3 linked regions of the Caenorhabditis elegans genome follow. The protein of the gene in region 1 purifies or fractionates together with the protein of each later gene. This does not show direct contact. Each region holds a gene or a part of one and is shown on either strand. Other genes may lie near its edges. The genes, in order: asah-1, Y102A11A.3 and Y62H9A.3.

Evidence for each region.
Region 2: the proteins of asah-1 (region 1) and Y102A11A.3 fractionate together in Caenorhabditis elegans (co-fractionation; one large-scale study listed by BioGRID). This does not show direct contact.
Region 3: the proteins of asah-1 (region 1) and Y62H9A.3 fractionate together in Caenorhabditis elegans (co-fractionation; one large-scale study listed by BioGRID). This does not show direct contact.

What each region holds. Positions count from the first base shown.
Region 1 is NC_003279.8:12,501,293-12,508,069, forward strand, and holds asah-1 (Acid ceramidase subunit beta), read left to right. Parts: upstream 1-3,821; 5' UTR 3,822-3,832; coding exon 3,833-3,975; intron 3,976-4,806; coding exon 4,807-5,441; intron 5,442-5,604; coding exon 5,605-5,798; intron 5,799-6,009; coding exon 6,010-6,219; 3' UTR 6,220-6,277; downstream 6,278-6,777. Other genes in the region: K11D2.1 (RCC1 domain-containing protein 1), read left to right, coding at 2,698-3,161, 3,218-3,398, 3,444-3,623.
Region 2 is NC_003284.9:2,015,904-2,026,052, forward strand, and holds Y102A11A.3 (Protein unc-13 homolog A), read left to right. Parts: upstream 1-3,244; 5' UTR 3,245-3,267; coding exon 3,268-3,297; intron 3,298-3,352; coding exon 3,353-3,500; intron 3,501-3,545; coding exon 3,546-3,773; intron 3,774-3,821; coding exon 3,822-3,905; intron 3,906-4,067; coding exon 4,068-4,844; intron 4,845-5,113; coding exon 5,114-5,188; intron 5,189-5,231; coding exon 5,232-7,467; intron 7,468-7,758; coding exon 7,759-8,151; intron 8,152-8,198; coding exon 8,199-8,474; intron 8,475-8,520; coding exon 8,521-8,585; intron 8,586-8,630; coding exon 8,631-8,836; intron 8,837-9,193; coding exon 9,194-9,267; intron 9,268-9,313; coding exon 9,314-9,392; 3' UTR 9,393-9,473; downstream 9,474-10,149. Other genes in the region: Y102A11A.9 (Lebercilin domain-containing protein), read left to right, coding at 1-22, 69-208, 328-478, 1,277-1,375, 1,728-1,905.
Region 3 is NC_003284.9:11,877,020-11,882,172, forward strand, and holds Y62H9A.3 (putative secreted effector protein), read right to left. Parts: upstream 2,953-5,153; 5' UTR 2,926-2,952; coding exon 2,866-2,925; intron 2,819-2,865; coding exon 2,569-2,818; intron 2,524-2,568; coding exon 2,469-2,523; intron 2,424-2,468; coding exon 2,144-2,423; 3' UTR 2,091-2,143; downstream 1-2,090. Other genes in the region: Y62H9A.1 (uncharacterized protein), read left to right, coding at 1-100, 147-223; Y62H9A.2 (uncharacterized protein), read right to left, coding at 399-446, 491-807, 889-1,177; Y62H9A.4 (DUF4362 domain-containing protein), read left to right, coding at 3,123-3,475, 3,815-4,006, 4,060-4,153.

The sequences.
Region 1 (6,777 bases):
GATTATGATAACAGTCACTAGAAGCCAGACTACAACCTCTAGACGTTCACGGCCTCCATTCCAATCACAAATCCTTGCTGATCTGTGAACGCGTGTGATAGTCCATCTATCGTTGACAAGAGACCAGCTGTCCGCGACGAATTCGGGGAAAGAGATATTTTCGAATCCAACCGAATTGAAGAAGAAAAGAGATTTTCAAAGAACTGGCGCGGAAGATGGAGGATGGTATCAGAAGATCGCCGGGTTCGCATTGCAACTGATTTATGGTATAAGCCACGTGACTTTTCACAAAACTGCAGAAAGCCATTTTCTCCCCATGGAGTGGTCATATTTATACTCACTAAACAGGGAATTGATTTGCATAATCTACATTACGATAAATACAAAAACAACTGATCGGAATAAAAGACCAACACGTCATTGCAATCGGTCTAGAAGCTTATCACGTGGATTAAGTAACCTATTTTGATAACTATCTCTCATTTGAAGTTACAAAGTGCAGATTTTATGATCCAGTTTGAGAAAGGCCGGAAAAAAGAAAGAAAGTTCAGTCTTCAAAATAAAATTTCAAAAAGTGAACGTTATTTTGCCAGAATTAAAGCCGATTTGGTTGAATATATGGCAAACTTGACCCTAACTTTTGCGAGACTTGGGAAAGACTGTGTTTAGGTCGCGCCCAAGCTAGTAAGCCGGAACCAATCTTTAACTGAAGCTTGTATAAGAAATTGGCAAAAATAGGACTAAACTTGGACCAAACTTGCGCGCTGCCTAAACAAAGCCAAACCAAGGTTCGGGCCATGATTTGTCAAATTATAGATCAAACAAGTTTTTTAGACCAAACTTGGTTCAGAAGTTACCGCCAAAGACCAAGAAACTTAAAATAGTCCCAAAACAGCTAGCAGAACAAAACCAAGCCTTTTTGGTACTTTCAGGCCAATTTGGACTTTAATACAAGATAATTGTCTGAAAACGCACAAAAAGCTAGCTATATCAAGTAGAAATGCAGCCGAACATCCACTGAACTATTTGACCCGATGACTTTTATAGACGTTTCCTTCTCTTCCGATGTTTGTTCTCTTATTGCTTGACGTCGCCTGAATTCATTCTTCAACAGAAAACTATTTCCTTACACAACAGCTGTCGTCAGCTGATATGTTCCGCGGAGACACAGCTTCTCATGGGAAAAGCGGAAGGAAACAAAAATGTAGGACAGGAAGTTGGAGGAATTCGAAGAATGTTGCTGGAAATGGCTTTTGCAATTTTATTTTTTGAGAATTCTAAAAATGATAGATTCATCAAAAACACTTGCTGCCCGGACGACGTTCACAGTTGTTTTTCAAAATAACTGTGAAAAAGAAAGTTCAAGGGTCGTTTTCCTCCAATACATGTGGATTTATTGTGTCCTCCTACAAACTTTTCGTAATTGTTTGCACTACATCATGATTCGATTGGAAATTGATAACGTCATTGTTGAGACAATTTGTGAATCAGCTGAATCAGACGAATTCATGCTTCGGGGACGTCACCAGACCACAATGACGTTTCCTAGAAAAACCTGAATCATCTTGGAAATTCTCAAGCTACAATTCATCTAATTCCAAAAGTCCGACTCAATTACCAATTATCCCCAATAATCTTTACTCTGCGTGTGCTGCACTTTCTGCATTTTTCACCTAGAAGGACTTGTTCCACACATTGTTGTCAACATCCGGTCATATGTCTTCTTAAAGGTTCGGGGGAGAAGGAGTACTGTACTTTTCAATGAATAACAATTGGACACTTTAACGAAAAGAGAGAATAATAATCGAGTGAGGTGACGAAATGATGAAGAGGAAGAAGCCACAATGATGACGTCATCGGTCTATGATGTTTCACTTTCAAAGGTGGGGGGCTATTGTTTCCGCGAGGAGTGTAATGAAGGGAGTTCAGCGAAGGAAGTGCCACGTGTATCGCTGAAAAACTTCTACCTGATCCCTAGTAGTTTGTGATGTTTCACCTAGATCTGAGTTTTTTGGTCATAAAATTTTTGGGGCCTACCTTTCATTTTTCGACAATTTAGTCTAAACACATGCTCCTAACAATAAAATGGTGTACGGGTTCTTATAAAAACAAGAATTATTGAAGGTTGGCCACCAACGGCCCTGTAAAGGTCCTGATCCAGATCTGGTGACAGGTGATTCGCGTTTGGTCTGCCACAAGCAATATTAGTGGAACTGGCAAGTAACTCAAAAAACTAAGACTACAGGCACGTAGCCACGCTGTATTCCAAACTACAGGCGTTTCACAGCAGGTCCGAGCTTGGTGCCAGAGTGTCCCATGCCTATTTGATCTACAATAAATGCGGGACGCTCTTAACAATACGAAATTTGTTGAGAGGTCCGCATCGAAATTCCCGCATTTATTGTAGATCACACAGTAATGGGCACTCTGACACAAGGTGGAAACATACAGCGCATTTTTTTTCAGTTTCTACGACTTTAAAGGGGGCGCATTTACGCGCGATGGTTCGACACGCGCCACCCATTGATTTTTGGGGTGCGTGGCGAGATCAATGCCGGGACCATCGCGCGTAAATGCGCCCCTTTTAAAGTCGTAGAAATGGAAAAAAACGCACTGTAGTTAATGAAGAAAGTACTGTAGAAGTGTCTATCATTGTTTTTTGCAAAAAATTTAAAATTGCTAAATTGATTATTCCAGATTCCCACCTGGTTTGGCTCGATCTCTGTGGATTCCTGCAAGATCACACTGATCTTCGATGCCCCGATGACGTCATTAGCATCTGAAACCATCCAGCTACCCGATGAAGTTAAACACGTGGCGTGTACCCATCTCCACATGGCGATTCTCATGAAGCACGAAAAGTTGGCTGTGAGAAGACTTGACGACTTTGAGGGAAACCTGACATTCCTGGACCTGCATACTGATTTAGATGTTTTGCTGGTAGCTACATCCCGTGAGATATACGCTGTCGAAAGATCTGGAACAAGTTCGGAAATTGTGAAGATCCTGGTTGATTCTGTCGGAATTTCACCGAAAAAGAACAATTTAGCAAATAAGATCCAATTTCCATGGCCTGTGAGAATTGTGGAAGCTGCTGCTGGTCACGACTTTCTGATCTTCCGGGATACAACCGGCAACCTCTTCTCTATGGGTACCGGAACGTGAGTTTTCACAGGCCTAGACTGGAAAATATTTACATAAATTTCCAAATTTCCAGTCGCGGGGAGCTTGGAGTTGGTCTGATCCGCCGAGTCGACGAGCCCGTCCATATCGAGCAACTCGTGGGAATTCGCATTAAAAAGGTGGCTTGTGGCGGTTGGCATACGGTAGCACTGACAGAAGGCGGTGATGCATACACATGGGGATGGAATCGGTATGGACAACTCGGAAAAGATAAGGTAAACTTTTTGCTGAAAGTTCAAAGATGAATCGTGACTCCTTAGGGCTCCACTGAAGTCTACCCGGTACTCATCGACCCAGAGGAAGAGAAATTCGGCGAGGAGAACATTTTGGACGTTGCATGCACAGAGCATAATACGCAGATTGTCATCAAAACAGGCCACGCCCCCTTTGTGCTGGGCACGAACCCCACTCCACCGATCAACGAATTTCACCTAGACTAGACTATAACTTTTAATGAATTCTTCTCTGAAAACGCTTGTAAATTATGCTCCATAAACCAAAAACCGGTGTGATTGATGACATTTTCATGAGGGAAATAAATTAAAAAGTGATAAGGAGTAAAGTGTGGCCACGTGTTTTCCGCAAAAAGTATTGATAAGTCGCCTCGCGGAGCACACGCTTTGCCACTATTCAGAGCTAGTCAAGAAAGATGCTCCGAGAATTGTCGGTTTTGTTGCTGGTGGCTGTGTGCGCCGCAAAGCATGTGGAGCTTCCGGCTCCGTTTAAGGATCACTGCATCTTGGATGATAAGCAGAATCTCTATGATCCAAGCAAGCAATTTGATATCAAGTGGTGAGTTTTTGGCTGGATGGTAGCTACCTTAACTATCTATAGTTTGCCCCATTTGTTGAACTTTTTGCGCATAAAACTTCCAAAATGTCAGATTTTCATAGTTTGAAGCCAGTGGTGTTCCTTGGTCATTTTTTTAGGTGCCAAATTCTAAATACACTGCTGTTCTAAAGAAATTCTCGATTTCATTGCCTAAGCTTTTTTAGAATTCGCCTAAGAACTAATAGATATTCTGAGAACTTTGTTGGCAGTCTGAATTTCTGAGTTTCGCCGATATTGTGCTTCTGATACTCAAAAGAGCATTTTTCAGGCATTCTACGTTATGAAAATGTGCTTAATCCGAGCTTTACTGATTATTGCATGGTTCGAACACTTTTAGAGCTTCAAACATTCTAGTTTAGGACCTATCTTACTTTTTTGAAACTTTTAAACTACAAGAAGACGCCAAAATGTCGGTAATTTAACTTTTCCGGCACAGATATTACCTATACTTTGTGAAAAATATATTTTATAGGAAGTTTTTTAAACTCATTTTAGACTCAGAGTCCCTTTTTTTTAACTTTTGACTTCTCGGCTTCCAAAAAAAAAAATTTTTTGCGAAATTTTCAAGAAACTAGCAAATCGTTTAAAAATGTAGATTCCTGTGTTCTACAATCAGTTGATAATTTAGTGTAGTTACCCCCTGACACAATCAATCATAAATAAAACATCAATCTTCTCCTCGAGGAATTCCATAAACCTTATCAGTTTTTGTGCAGAGGTCACACCATACTTTGATTGCTGATTGAAGCGAAATTCCAAATACACACTTCCACAAACAAAAAATATTTTCAGGTACGATGTGAACCTTGATCTCCCACCATCGGAGCGTTGGGTGCAGATCGCTACAGCCAACAAGGAACACATCGCCGACCTGATCGGTGTGCTGATCAATCTGATCACTCCATGGTTCCCAAATGCCATCGACTTTGTTGATGACGTGTTCGGTGATTTGGCGCCAAAGCTCGCTCAGCCATATCGTGACGAGATCTTCAGTATTGCCAATGCCACCGGTATCCCATTGGGACAGATCACCATGTATAACATCTTCTACGAGATCTTCACCGTTTGCACATCGGTCATCGCTCAGGACAAGGACGGCCACGTTTTCCACGCCAGAAACCTCGATTTCGGACTCTTCATGGGATGGGACCCAGTTCTTCACGACTGGCAAATCTCGCAAAAGCTTCGTAAGATGATCATCAACGTCAACTGGCTCAAGGACGGAAAGCTGTTGTACAAGTCGAACAACTTTGCCGGATACATTGGAATCTACAACGGTCTCAAGCCAAACGCCTTCTCCTTGACTGCTGACGATCGATTCCAGCTTGTCGGAGGATACTACGGTATTCTCAAGTGGGTGTTCGGATTGGAGGCCGACGGAAAATGGATGTCCTGGTTGGCAAGAGAGACCCTCGAGACTAAGACCAGTGAGTTGAATTGTTTTCTTGATGACTTAGATCCTTAGAATTCGGAAGCTTTGATTTCCAGGAAGCTTAGGCTTAGATTCAAGTGTCCCTAATCTTTGCTTCTAATATCCATTGGGCTAGATCCGTCTGAGATCCATAAAGGCTCTATATCCCGAGCTTTCAGCCTACCTCGACGCCAAGGAGCACTTGATGAACACTCCAATGCTCTCACCAGTCTACTTCATTCTCGGAGGATCCAAGAAGGACGAGGGATGCATCATCGCTAGAAGTCTCGACAAGACCGCACTTCTCACCGAGATGGCCACATCCCCACACGGATGGTACCTGTTGGAGACCAACTACGATCAGGGAACCGAGGTGAGAGATGCTAGAGTTGAAGGTGTAGAGTAGGTTCTGGTAGACGGATCTAGGGGCCCAACTTTTAGGAGAGGTCCTTCTCTAGGCCTAGGTCTAGTATTTTGAACCCAGCTTCTTTTTTTGAGTGGGTCGAACTCCTAGCTAGAAATTTTGATCAAAAATCTGTCAAAACCTATCCGGAATTAACTTATCCAACATTTCCCTCTTCCAGGACCTCTACCTTGACGACCGTGACACTCCGGGATTCCGTTGCATGGACAAGTTGACCCAGAAGAACGTCGGATTCGAGGGAATCTTCAACGTCTTGTCATCCCGCACCAACCTGAATAAGCTCACCACCTACACCGTCCTCATGTCCGTCGAGACTTCTCGCTTCGAGACCATCCTTCAATCCTGCCCGGGAGAATGCTATCCATGGTAGATTGGATTCAACATTCTCATATACGCAATGATTCATTGAAATAAACTTTCATTTTTGTAAATAAACTTTGATGGGTTCTTGTTTGAAAACGAAATTTTCATAAAATTTAAAAATTTTAGAGTTTTTTGGTTTTTTTTAAACAAAAATTAAAAATTTTAATTTTCCCGCTGGAAAAAAATAATGAGTTACGGTAGATTTAAAGGCGCATGCACCGAAACTTATCGAGGTTACCAAAGTTATTGCTTTTTGTGGAATTTTACATTTAAAAAATAATTGTTTGCTAATTTTATGGTTTTTCGTCGTTTTTTCGTTTCTAACCAAGTTTTCCTCCTGAAATTCAAATTTCGTCACAATTTTATTAAAAATGGGATACGGTAGATTTAAAGGCGCATGCCTAAATATTTCTTCTGAGTCTCGTAGCGATTGGTGGTTTTGTGGAATTTTCTACTAGAAAAATGAATTTAAACTGATTTTCCAGTATTTTTACACAAATTTTTTTTATTTCAATTCAATTTTCAAATTATTCAATTCAATTTTCTGGCGGAAATTGCCAGTTTT
Region 2 (10,149 bases), on another chromosome or scaffold:
CAGCATCTAAGGAAAGAAATGAGTATGGTCATTGTTCGAAATCAACAAAAACGTTTCTCTGATTTCAGGTTGGCGAAAAAGTACGCAGAGCAAAACGCAAAGTTGAAACTGAAACTTAAAGAGGTCAAGAATAACTATGCTTCAATGCTCGAGAAAAATAAAAAGAAAGGTGAAGAATTTATCAAGCAAAGTGAAAACTCGAAAGCAGGTATGATTTTGAAAAGTATTGAAAAGTATTTTTTAAACCAAATGATTACTGTTTCGTTTCGAACAGTTTCATGATCAAAATTATTCCAAAATCAACAATCTAAAGTATTTCTTCTTCAGTTGTCGAAAAAACCGTCCAAATCAGCACTGTTCTCGATTCACTGCAGAAAGAACGTGAAGATTTGTCAGAGATCAGAAAGAAAAACGAGCAGAAAATTGAAGGACTATCGCAAGAGTTGATTGAGGCTTACGGAGAAATTGATGCGTTGAAGTAAGTGAGAACGAGAAATGTTTAAAGTAAGAGTGTCGGTTTTGGGAATTTTGAACGTATAGGCCCAAAATGTGCTCAAGCCAACAAATTTTGTGATGAAACTTCTCAAAGTTTTTGTTAACATTTATTTTAATAGTGGTTCGAAAAATCGAAAATTGGTCTCACATCATTATTGAATATGTAACCAATTTTGGTAATTTTTGGCACCGGCTCACGTGGTGTCAGGCTGTCTCATTGCTCCACCGCACACAAAATGGTGGTAAAATATTTTTAATTTTTGTGACGACACAGCGAATTTCAAGTCGATTTTTGGGAAACTTTCCATTTTTTCCAACTAATTTTTGTGTTAATTTGTGAAGTGGTTATTTTAAAAAAATCGAAAAGTTTAGCAATCAGTCATGGATTTCACGTTTAAAATTATTCGAGATGCACTGTGACGTCACAAAAATTCGAATATATTTTCCAGCTCTTTTGTGTGCGGTGGAGCGATAGGACAGACTGTCACCATTCGCTGCCTTCAAATGTTCATTAACTAACGAAATAACGTGAGATAAACGACGGAAATATGTATGCGAAAATGGATGAGAACTCAAAAAAAAATCTTTGATTCGCTGCGATACAAAAAAACTGAAAGATAAAAAAGATTTGATATTTTTTCAAAACTTTGAAGCGCCTGAAAAAACTTTAACCAATTGTTTTAATTTTAAGTTTTAATTTGAAATTCGTTCATTTGAGCACATGTTGAGTGTATACGTTCAAAATATTCCAGAACTACTCCTCCATTACCAAAATTTTCAGAATGAACAATGAGAAACTGCAAGAACATTTGGGTGATTTGGAGCAACGTGTTGGACATTTAAAAATTCAGCCGGACTATGAGAGCCTTCCACCATTAAAGTGAACATTTTGATATTGTTTGTTTTTGTTCAAAGGTGAAGTAGAGTCGTTTTGAAATTTTGCTTTAAATCAGAGAAAATAGACCATAATTTTTTATTTTATTTTGGCGGAAACCGGCAGAATTAAATTTGAATTCCCGCGTATTTTTGAGTTTTTTTTTTCTTTTTTTTCTTTCGCATTTTTTCGTTAAGAAGACTAAAAAGACAAAAACCCATAAAATATCGTTTAGAAGAATTAAACAATTAAAAAAATATTTAACAGTTACATTAGGTTATTAGTGTTTATTTTCTGTCATTTAAAGCAAAATTCCAAAACGACTCTACTGCACTTTTAATGACACACGTCGTTTCAGTATACCTCGACTCGACATGACCGATATTGACAATGACGAGAACGGCACGTTGCACGAGTTTTCTGAAAGAAGTGTTTTATCGAATCTTTCTGAATTCGATCATGTACACCTTGCTGGTGCATTAGCAGAAATTGCTGGTGCTCATTGTGAGCGATTGCGTATGATCACTCAATCATAACAGACTACTTTTATTACTTCCCACTCTTTCCTGTCAATCTATCTATTAGTATACAACCTGTCTGATTTTTTTCCCCTGATGTGATAATTTTGAACACTGGTCAGCCCTTTTTCTATTTTCTTCCAATTAATTTGATTCTGCTGTGCAATCCCAATTGAGTGTGAAAATCTTTGTGTTGAAAACTGTACAATTTAGTTTATACTACATATTCGAAAATTAAATCCTTCTGAAACTTCTAAATAAATTTTTTTAAAATTTTTTAAATAAAGTTTTTTATTGTTTTAACATGTTACCTGGCAAAATTTAACCTCTATAAGTGGAGTGTCGCCACCACTGGGGAAACTGTTCAAAACTGCTTCTATTGTGCTGAAATTATCAAAGTCCACCGTAACAACTTTTCAAAAAAATTGTGCACTATTTCCTTACATATTAAATTGCGAAGAAAACTACAAAAAAAGTGACGACCCGGAACTTATTCCTCCCTAATATTTTTTACGATTCCTGCCAAGTGAGCGCATTTTTGGCATTACACGGTGTTTTACATTTTGTTCTCCATCTGTCAATCTACTCGATGCTCCTTTTTTCACAGTTCTGATGAAATGTATACATTCCAAACCACTTTTATCATCAAGTCATACATCACTGGAAAAAGGCATAGAGCAGCAGTTGTAACTGCTGATAATGCAAGTTTTTCATTGGTATCGGCGAGCATTACATTTCGTTTTTTTTCTGTTTCTTGAGCACTCGACTGCAAATTAACATTATTTGCTTTGTTTTTGTGGAATACTAATTTAATATGATTCGATTGTAGTAGCTGTACTTCAATTTTATTTTGTAGTTTATCAAAAATAAAACGTGAATTTTTTATTTTAGGCTTAAAAGAGGAGTATCGGTTTTAGATATAATAAACGAATAAGCCCAAAATGGGTTCAAATGAACAAATTTCGAATAAAATTAAACTTCTTTAAAACATTTCAAAATTATTTATGGCGGTCCAACATTTCGAAAACAATTGGTTAATTTTAGGTCACATCATTTCGTTATTTATAAATGTTTATAAATGTTTTGTTTATAAATTATTTATAAATGCAAAAAGAATAATAGTTCAATTTTTTGCGAAGTTTTATCACGAAATTTGTTAATTTGAGCACATACTCATCCTTGTAGAAAAACTTTTTATAAACTTAATAATAAAATAGGAATAGTTATTCACATTATGGAATTTCATTTATTGCGAACATTTTGAGATACTTATTAAACTATATCTATAGACCAAATCAAATTCTATCGAATTTAAAAATACAAAAAAAATCAGATCACATTTATTCTAATTTTCCAGATGATAACTTGAATGTTGAGCACATGAATTCTGACTGTGACCAACACATCAAGGTATATTTATATTTTTTCTAATACTTTAAATTTATACAATGTATACACATTTCAGAGTAGAGTTAGATATCATCAATCCGAATTTTGTACGAAACTAAACTATGTGTATACTTCTCGCCAGTGTGACGAATATTTCAACTATTTGGCTGAATTGAGAAGAATTATTTTTGGTGACAAACAATATTCGGAAAAAATGAAACCAAGTAAGTTGGAAAATAAAACCAGAAATGTAATGAAAATTGTTTCAGAAAACAATTGTGACCCAATTAGACACTCAATTCATTATCGCACACGGGACGGCAAAACTCTGGTTTATGAGTTGGGAAATACGTCAGACTACGGCATTAATCTTTTTGCAATACCGTCTGAAACAAAAACGGTTGCAACAAAAACGTATTATGCAGAAGAACACGTACTCACTCAGCCGGAGACTTGTCGAGTGTTACCTCTCACTCACTGCTTTCATCTTGTAAAACGTTCGTCAATTCAATTTTTTGAGCATTTTTTAAAATAATTGTTTCTAGAGCCATCGGACAACGTGAGCCCATCAAAATTACGCAATAAGATGTGTGATGCTCATCTGGGAAGCTCAAAAACATTTTCCACAAGTGAGTTAAAATATACATTGCTGGTGATAAAGATATGCACAAAAGCTCTTGCAAGAATGTGCTGTGAAGTTGCATGCCTTTATGACCAGCACTAATTGTAAAACAATTTTGTAAACCAAAATAAAAACATTCAAAAAACAACTAAATACTCAAATTTTCTAGATCAAGAATGTCTACAGTTGTCTCAACCTCCAGATGATCAAAACAACTTCCACATTATCGACCAACATTTGTGTTTTGCCTGTGTCGACGACTTTTCAGAAGAGCATGTTGGATTTGAAGACGCTGAAAGTCTGAGTGACGTGGTAGATGAAGATTTTGCAGTAATGGAAGAATTCGCGAGCGTTTTGGAGGAGACGGGATCGGTTTTTGAAGAGTTGGGTGATGATGATTCAATTGAAGACAATTGTTCCATATCCGATGATAAAGTGAACAGGATTGTGGGAATTGTGAAGAGACAAATTGAATTTTCAAAAGACAGACACAGTAGATCTGAAGAAAGAAATGTTTGTCATCTCCAGGATCAAACAATTTCTGAACAACCACATTTTCATTCAGCTGTGCTTGAAAAATCAGATGAAAACATTTCCTGGGTGCAGCTGCCCACATTTCAACTTCCATCACTATTTTCAAAACAGCCTATTCTCCCACCAAATGTGAAAATGGAATCGGAAAAACAAGAAGACGAGGCTAATTTTGATTATTCTTTACAATCAGTACCAGAACCGTCCAGTGCTTATCTTCCTCATGAAACTGATCAAAATCAAAGTAGTACTTCTTTCCCGCAACAAGAATCTGACAATGAAGATTCTGAGACAAGTTCTCCTGACACACCTGAAAACGGCAGTGTACTTGTGAATATGATTCAAGATTACGTTCAAATGGTAATGTCCGTGTCTCGAGAATTTCAACAGTCACACAGAGAAGAAGCCTCACAAGGTAATAAATGTCTTGCACGTGGTGTCAGATTGCCTCTTTTCGGCCTGATCTATGTAGATCTACAAAAAAATGCGGGAGAACAGACGCAGATTGCTCAACTGACGTCACATTTTTCGGGCAAAAAATACTCCCGCAATTTTTTGTAGATCAGCCCGTAATGGAAGACTCTGACACCACATGGTCTGGCTTATAACCATTTTTTATAATATGAGCGGTGCAATAAGTCCTGGGTCAAAATTCATAAATGTTTGGTAATTTGTTTTTTAAAGCGAAAACTTCCGAGCTCGTCAGTCTGGATCTACAGTTGCTGACATATGCTTCGAAAGCTGACCAGATAGAAGAAGGTTTGAAAAACAATTTTTTGAAATAAAATAATATAAGTTCTAGATCCTCGACTGATGCTGAGAAGATTGGCTCCACGAAAAACGTCAGTTGATAAATGGAAAAGTTCTACTTTGTTGAATGAAACTGTTAAACCCTCGGCTACTGAAAAAGAGAAAGTTTTTGAAAAATTGTCAGCAAATGGTGAAGACTACAGTAGAGAGAAAGCCGCCGATCAAGAGTCTACTGGAAATCATTTTTTTCGTACATTAACGTCTGAGCTTGAAATCAACCAACCGGGAATACCAAAAACTCCAGATGTTAGTTGTTTCTTTTCAGAAGACAGTGTTTGTTCTGAGTATGCTCCAAATCTCCAAGAAGAAAATCTTCCACCGGTTTTACTCAATTCGAATACGCAACCAGAAACCGATTTTGAATTTCAAGTAGACACATCAACTTCTGAAATTTTATCAGACCAATCAAATATGAACATCACATTTGAACCGATCGAAGACATCGCTGAAGATCGGCCAAAATTGAATGGAGAGGAAATTGTTCAAGTTCAGATCATGGAAAGCACTTCTAGATCCACTGCACCTTCAAACATTAATCTTTCTGAAAACTCTGACGTCACACCGTTTACTAGCAACTGGAAGGAAATAACATGTGATGTTGATTGTGAGGATACGTCACAGAAAGAGCATTGTGCACATTCAAACGCTATCACTCCCGAAACAGTTTTTGATATTTCACCAGAATTGGGAAAGAGCAAACAACATTGCATCGATAAACAAGCTGAATATAGCGGAAAACTTGTTCACTTGAAAAACCATATTGAAGTTGCTTCTGTTTTGGAGAGCATCCTGGTCGAAGTATCCAACAATACTGATTCTAATGCAACATTGAACTCTGCAACTTCTCAAGAAATCTTCGACGTGGTTGAACTTCTGCAAGTACCAATTGAGATTACTGTAGATGTGTTGCCGGAAATAGAAGACCAAAGCGATACTGAAACGTTCACACCTGAAGAAGCCACACCATCCGTATCTGTATTCGATGAAGTTCAGTGTTCCCTTTCTATCAGTATGGATACTACTCTAAAGACGGTCAATTCAAAGGTTTTAATCAACACGGAATTTTTACAAGAGAACTCGTTAACCATCAATGTCATTGATAGTTGTTATCACGAAAACATCCAAAACCATGTGCTCAGCTCAATAAATAACAATTTGGAAATTGTTGAAATTTCAAACAACATTTTGAGCAAAGCATCAAGTTACTCAGAACTCGTTGTTGATGATATTGTTATCACTGTTGTCCCAGATATGCTTTGTCATGTTACCTTTCAGGCTCTTCCACCAATTATCTCTAGGAAAGTCGATGAAAATCGAATTGGAGACGAAAATGTTCTTCTGAATAATTTAAATAATGTTACAATGAGAAGTGGGAGAAGCCAAACTCAACACTCAAAAATTTTTATCAATAAGGACGTCCACCATTTTTTGCAAGATCAAATCAACTTTCTGGAACGACAAGAACAAACAAATGATGCAGAGGACAGTATATCGGTTACATCCAGCTTTTCCACTTCAAATACGAACGATAACGATTTGCAATCTTGTGTTCCGCTGAGTATAGAAGAAACCTGGGACATTGAAGTTGGGCTGAACCACTTTTTGAATTGGCTACACGGTTTGTCCGAAAACTCAAGTGATGCTGGGCCGACTGAAGATTTTCCACAAAACACAATCAGTCTTGACTTTAACATAGAACATGAATTAATAGCATCAGAATTGCCGGAAAGAAAAGAGGCCACTGGAGATTCTGAGGGTGACAACAAGAAAGCGACAAAAACGTTTGAAAATAGTAAATCTTTAGCAAAGTGTGGTATGTCCAATTCAATGGATGTTCTCGAACCACGAAGTTTCAAGGAAAAAATTCAAGACCGGCGCTCTCAAACGTGTGAGCATTCTTCCGAAAATCAAGGTCTAGAAGAAGTCAAGTTAGAAAGATCAGAGCAAGATCCCAATTCAATGGCGTGCCTGCTAGAAATCAGCACAGCAGATAATTTCGAAAATGCGGAAAATCAGTTAGAATATGATCAACAATTGGTAGTTTTCAATCTGGACAACATACAAGAAGCCTGCGGACAAACGAACAACATAGGCAGCACTGAAACGAGTTCAAAATCAACTGAGCAATCCGAGGACATTGACAAACTCGATCATCATTTCGAGGATGCATGTGAGAGAAAGTATTGCGAAACTGATACAATGCTCAAGGAAAATCCAGACAGTACGAGGTACGCGGTATAATTATTGGGGAAAAAACTATGCTACAATATATTGTAAATTTAATCATGCGAAAAAAACCACAAAGCGGTTTTTACTAAGTTGCCGTGAAATGAGAAAACTCAGCCACCCTCATAACTCACGGTAGAATCAAAGGACACCCTTTCCAAGACTATTCTCGTTAAGTTTCAAAAATATGTACCGTAAAAAATCATAGATAAATAATTGCCCGAGTTTTTGATTTTTCTAGGCTACGGGGTATTTCCAGTATTTCCATATTCCTCAAAAAAAGATATTTTCAGAAAAATGGCAAAAAATCTCAATGAAAACGAAAGTGGTATAAACATTATAAAAGATTCCAACTCGGAATACAAAAGTGAAATTGCTGAAATGGATCTATTCTATGCCAACTTCGAAGTTCCGTTGCCTGATTCAAGTTGCATCAAAATTTCGGAAATGCAAAATAATCTCGCCTCATTGGTTGATCATCTTTTGTCTGATCAAATTCAAGCTGCTGTCCAAGAAGCTTCCAAGCTGATCTGTCACAGAATGATACCCCTCGCCAGAAATCAGTCTTGTAAAATCATTGAGGATACATTTTATACCGAGTATATTGCTGATAAAACAGCATCAGCAGTCACGGAAAAAGAAAACGTCGAAGATTGTACCGATACTTCATTTTGCGATCAATCAAGGTAGTTTTTGATATAACTGTGGTATGATTAAGATATGAAAAATTAAGGAATGTTGAGAGATGTTGCACTACGCTAGATACCGACAAAGCTGTGGTTAAACAATTTTTGAATAGAATGATGCATGATCTAGTCTCCGATGCAGTTCTCGAAGCGTGTCTGGTACCCGCACATTTTCCCGATTCAATTGAAACAGCAGTATGTGAGCATTTCGATTCTTTCCCAGATATCCCAAAGTTATTCTTGTCGCCAAAACTGGAGGATTTGAGCCAATCAACTTCACACAAACCAATATCTGAACTTCAGTCCAGTTCCTCAGAAAACAGGTAATTTTACTTTGATCTTGAAAATCTGAATAAAATTTTTTTTCAGAGTTTCTTTGAATGAAGTTTTCGAAGAAAAGATGTGTGACGTGTTAAGAGAAAATACACATTTGGGTAGCTTGTAGCGTTTTAAAAGGTTTCCTATTATACTTCTTTCAGAAACTAATGCAGATCGCGAGCCGTTTAGAAATAATTTATCAAGATCCAATTTGGAAACTTGTCAAAACATTATTGATTTGACACCCGAATCCAGCGATTCTAGCATTTGTGCAGAAGTATTCGTTCCGACAAACTCAACACCACCTTCGGAGACTTCCCCTACCGACATTAGTTTGAACTCTTCGGAACAGCAGAACACTTCTTCGGTACGTAAGTTCCAAAGCCATGAGACAGTAGGGGCCAAAATTCTATTCGTTTTTGGTTTTAAGGTTTTTTCTTCTTTTGTTCAAATTCTATAAGAGCTGAAATTTGAGGCTTATGTTCAATTTTTGTACAACTTTTCCCGGTCACCGTGTAAACTGTATGTAGATTACCAGTTAAGTGATTCGGACGTAATCACAAATATATGTAGTCCAAGTAATTAGCACCATTTTGTTAGCAAACGTATTTTGCGAACTATTATAGTAGTTACACATATTTTAACAGCTCAAGCAAAACCGATAGCGAAGAGATTATTCGATGGTCGGCAATGTACTATGTATATTAATTTAATGATTTTATAGGTATTAGAAGAAGTCTCATATTTCTTCACAACCGCGTGTGTTGCTGCACTTGCATTCATGTCCCCGGCAGAAAAGTATAGTCTTTTTTTCAAATATTTTTTATTAATTTAATAATTTCAGCGATTCATTATTAAATTCGGAAATCATTGAAAATGCATCAAAATATATATCCAACTCTCCGGAAGCAAATGAAAAATGAGACAATTAAAAACCCTAGATATTCATTGATTTTTTGATAAATAAAATTTCCCATTCTATTTTTGGAATAAACATTTAAACTTCTCACTTTTGTTTGATTTTTCAGTGGTGTATTTTCCAAGCGTCTGTAAATGTGAATCACCTATTTTATTATCAATTTACCACCCACATCTCAATGAAGTGTTTAAACAGTGCCTAAACTGTCTTCCCAAGTTTCGAACCTTATCAATTTTCTCTTTCTGAGTCTCGCAAATTTTCATTTCACCCAGTACTTTAAGGCGATCGCTTACATTTTGTGTGGCACCGATCTGTTATCAGTTTTTATGTGTGCCTGTGTGCGTGTGTGTTGTGCATGAAGAGTCGTTTATGACTTTTCTAACCAACTTGATTTAGTCTTCAATCGCTCTTCTCACTATTTTTACAGGAATACTGTTTATTTATGTATAAGGAATAATTTTAATTTTATTATCATTTTTATTAGAAATAATTTTAAATAAACTCTCATCTCAACTTTCGTAATTTCCATCTCGAATTTTTTTCGTGAATTTTTCCACTACTTTAGAGGCCTGTACGGTTTTATTGAAATAGTGTTTTTGCAAACTTTCAATGTTTTTCAAAATATTTAAGGGTAGGTAAACATTTTAGGAAAGTTTTCGAAAATTTCTTTGCTCCATACTGGCGAGAAATCATCCAAAAACGGTATTTATGGGTTTCGTTCCCCTCAAAATGCTTCAATTTTCTTAATTTCAATTAACCAC
Region 3 (5,153 bases), on another chromosome or scaffold:
TACTTAATACTTATCAAACCGCTTCGTTATGGTTTTTTTAAACTAGTGGGTCTTCATAAGTATGTTCCAAGAAACCAACCAAAAGCAGTAACGCAAACACGTAAGATTTTTTGGACTAGTGGTTCGGTTGAATCTATATGTTCCAGAATTATCAACGTTCACATCTCACGTTCCATCAAGACCGACAAATAGAGTACCGTATGGTTCTCTAAAACTTTATTAATGTAAACGTTTTAAAGTTATAACGTTTCACTTTAATTCTGAAGTCTATGTAGCAATATAATTATGCTATTAATTGAAAAATTGTTATTCTTCACAAAAATAAAATCACAGAATTTTTAAATAATTAAACCACATGAAATTCAAAGAAGACGGAAGTAAGTTTACATGCACATTTTCTAATGTTTTGTATATGAATTTGCGACCGCACACTTAGTGACTTTTGTCTGTAATTAATCAGTTTAAAGTTTCAAAACTTTTTAAAACTTACTCCACACTCAGAGTTTGCACTTGTCTCTGCCATTTCAGTGAAAGAAAATTGAAATGACTTCTGTAAGTCATGAGCATCCGTCTCTCTTGTCTTTAGTTCTTTTTCCTTCTCTTCTAACATATTTTCGAGGATTTTCGTTTTGTGATAACCACCGTTTGCCATATCAAGAGCTGACATTGTTTTTCCTATAATGCTATCTTCATCCAAATTTCGAATTTCACATAACAGAGCAAGAGTCCGACGTTTGTCGATACTGGGTGGTGAAGAATCAACAATTTCAAACATTTCTTCACGGCGAGTGTAGATTTGAGCAGATTCTAAAAAATGCGAATTAGTTTCAAAATAGATTTGACAATTTTAATATCAGTCAGAAATATATTCTTCATTTATAAACTCACGTTTTAGAGCATAAACAAGGTCCGTTTTGGAACTTCCTCTGCATAAAATATGATCAAGAGACTTTACTCTCTCAATAGTCAATTCACACTCTGCTCGCAACGCTGTCCATTTTTTGGCTTCCCTCTTATCGTACGAAAAATTGTTTTTGAAATCAGAATTCTTATTAACTATTTTTGAGACACTCATTCGTGTATCTTCCATCAGTGAAGGTTTATTATCACTCTTTTGTTGGCCCTGAGTAAGCCGAGGGACTGATGAGTTTTCAAGGAGTGCAGGAAGATTATTCATGATCGCCTGAAAATATTCTTACGGTTCCTTGTTTTCAATCAATTGATCAACTAGGTAGTTTTGTTGAAAAACCGTTGCCAACATCTACTGAAGCCAGCGGGGGATTACTCACACCCAGGAAACAAAATAAATTGTATTTTTTATGAACTTATGTTAGTAGAAAACCGATACTACCGGAAAGACATCTATTTTGAAGGATGAGATTAGTTACAACGGGACACTTTCATAATCGGAAGGGTTGGTTTAACTGAAAGCAAATTTGCAAACAAATAAACATTATGACAACTAATAATTGAAAACAGAAAATGAAGCCCATTGTTGAAAATGAGATTGTTGAAATAAATTATTCATGAAGCTAGAAATTCAAAAATGAAAATTTTCGTTTTTTTTACTGGGAGATTATATCAACAGAAATTGAAAATTGAGTGGGGAAACGGTGGAAAATAGTATATAGAAAATGAATATTTCCATCTTGAGAATTTATAGCTCTGTCCTCCCGGCTCCCTATATTTAATGTGAAAAATGATTGTTTTTAGGAGATTGTTCCATTTTTCTGTAAATGTAATATAAAATTGACACATGGAGAATACCGTATATTATTGAAAAATCTGGGTGAATTTCCTGAAACTTTCTTATTTGTTTTCTGACGGAACGGAATTGATGAAATTATTTGATTCCTTTAGTTGATCATAATATCAATAAGCGCCTTGAAGTTAAAAGAATCTTAGTGAAAAGAGTCTGTCTGTTTTTGAAAAGCAACTCCATTATAAGTATAAACAGATGCGCTTTTATTGTTTGGCTTAGGAATGTACTTTTAAGTAGTTTCAAAAATTAAACGCCGGGTATTTGAGAAACGATTAGCGTTTCATTAACTTTTCCGTTTGTGTTCAAAACTAATTGGTTTTCTTTGAAAGCTCAAATTAACATTTATTTTTCTTCATAATGTATTGTTTAAACTGATAAAGTTTAATGTTGAATGTACGACATAGTATTTCCGTGAAGGCATCCAACTCGACGGAACCTGTGTTTCTTATCATTGGTCAAATCTTTTCCTTCCCATTTGCCTTTAGTTCCATATTTGGCTAAGTAGTCAACGTTGATACCTCCTGTCAACGCTACTGTTCCAGGAACATTAAATGGTAGAATTTCTTTCTTCGAGTCCACCAAAATCCATGTGTATGCTCCTGGAGTTGGATTTCTGGGGCATGAAATGACGGCGTAATGGGTGTTATCATATGTGTAGTATCTAAATTTGAATGTATAATTCTTCTTGCAACTTGGATTTGCTCACCTAACACGGGCTTCAACAATTTTTTCACCACGAAGATCTTTCAATTTTTTGACTTCTGATTGTTTAAACTTTTAAAATGAGAATACAGTTGAGAACTCACCATAGTTGCGTGGTGGATACGATCCCCCATTTTCTGAGTCAGGATATGGTCCTGGGGGGAACGGAGCTGGATATTCTTGTGGAATTGGAACTAGTCGTGAAGCTGGCGGAAGCGGCCAACTATTAGGGAAATTTGGAACTGGGTATGATGCTGGTGGAAGTGGTCCTAGATCCGGCACCGAGTACGTTGGTTTCTTTGTTGGTCTTGGGTAGTCTTCAACTTCAACTTCACCTGAGTAGGACTTCTCGTTCTGTAATCATTAATATAAATATACTTTAAATTGCAATAGTATGTCACAATCTGGTATTCTGCAGAAGCCACAGCAGCAAGTAATACAAGCGAAACAAAATATTTCATCTTGGCAGAGCACCGATGTATGGCTCTCCTCTGTTGAGGACCGTTTTATATTTGGTCTAGATTTCGCATGAATCATATGTTTAGAAAACGTATGATGTGATGTGATCCATATTCCAGATTAAACTTTGTCGACGATTCAACAAAATCGTCTATAAAATCAAGTAGAGGTGACGCACAATTCAGCGAAATTGTTCACTATGTATGCTCTCTTTTTATCTGTGATCGCATGTGCGGTCGTCGTATCTGCGAACCAATACAATGATTATGGTACAATTTCTCACTATCCTGGACATCATTCAAACAATCGATACTCTACTTCTGACTCATCGGATTCTTCTGAGAATGAATTAAAATCAAGATCGAACTCAGATGAGCGTTACCCAGAATATCCAGGTGTATATGCGCCACAACCACCTGCAACGAACTACGGTACCAATGGAAACGAGTATAGACCACCAAACAATGTATATGAACAAAATGAGTATGAACAATGCAAGGAAATCAAACACTTTTCTGTTCATAAGCACAGAACCGCTCGTGCTGACATCAAGTGAGTTATCACAAAAAATACCATAAGTTAGCTTTTTTTCGAATATTTTTGCAAAATGAAACTAACTGATCAACGTTGGAAAAAGTTTTAGAGAAAATAAGACGTTTTAAACATAAAACCCGACAAAATAGAAACATTCACATATTTCGTTCTCAATACTCGTTATAGAAAAAATATACATATTGCATTTACTTTTTCGTTCAATTGTTTCGTGATGTGAGAGCAAAACTAAAGTTTTCGCAAAGTTTGTATAATTAATTATATCACGGGCTAATTTTGTTCTGTTTCATTTTGACTATAAATTATTTTCCAATGGTTCAAAAAGTTGTTTTTTTACAGAACAGTAGAGCGTAAGGGGAAGACCTACAACATTATCGCCTGTCCAAACAGTGGAAAACCATATGCCCTTGTAGCAAAAAAGGAAGGAACAGACGCATCTTTCAAGTTTGAGACAGAATTCGTCATTCAAGACACTATTCTCCTTGCATCGGGATATAATTTCGACTACGTTGCGAAATGCGACGACAAAAAGTGAGCCGTATTAAGTCAACTTGTTGTTTTTATATTCAAAGTCTAAATTTCAGTTTTGTTGGAAAATCATTCAACGACAGAGAAGTAGCAATCCGAAAAGTCACATGCGTTGAACTTCCCGGACCAAGACCATTGACAGGATTTTAATGATTCTGTTTATTTAAATGTTTTACGAGTTTTTGGTTGATAAAGTTTAAAGTCAAATTTGTTACAGAATGTGAAACAAAAAAAAAGTTCAAATTTGGATAATTATGTAAAGAAAATACTTTAACTAAATTTCAATGAGACAATGAAATTCATTCTATGATCATCCAAATATGGAAGAAAAGTAGTGCGATAATTCTTTTCGCATTCGTTAGATTAAAAAGGGTTTTACTTGTACTTTATTGAATGTAAGACAGTTTTTTTTTTCATCCGCTCCTTTAGAACAATTTACTGAATGCACTCTAAAAGTCCTATTGTTTTTTTCACGAGGAAGTGAACTCATCAAATTTGCAAATGTTAGTTTTCCGCAGTTTTTCCATGGAACCAAGTTATGATATTTCTGTTGACTGGACTCCTCTCATAATTGAGGTACCGTTGTACTACATATAAAAGATTTGTTGGCAAATATCAAAAAGCCAACAAATTGCGTGAAATGAGTAGCTTGGTGTGTGTGCAACATAGTGCGAAGAGGTGGTTGTTTGCAAGCGGTCGACACGTTCGGAGGTCCGCGCCTCACTATAAATGCGGCGTGGGTGACGCCGTGAGGCCGTCGCGGCGACCGCATGGGAGCCCTAGTTTATAGAAAAATTTGTAGGACGCGCTTAAGTTTTTAGTTTAAATGAGAAATTTAGAAACTTATAATAAAAAATTATGAATCAACAAACTGCCTAAAATGTATGGCAGTTGCGGTTTTATCGTCAATTTGTCAATTTTCTGGGAATTTTCAGTTTCGGTCATTTAAAATTTTCTTTGCCGCCCACTACTCGAACACATTTTCCTAACAATACAAAAAAAGCTGGAAAAGACAAATATGTTGAATTGTTTATTTTGCTTAACTTAGCTGTCTTTGGTGTTGATTTTTCAATCAAACTCTTTTCGGTGAAATTATCTCACATTCATTCTACACAGGCTCTCGTTGAAGAATTCATTTATTTTTAATGAT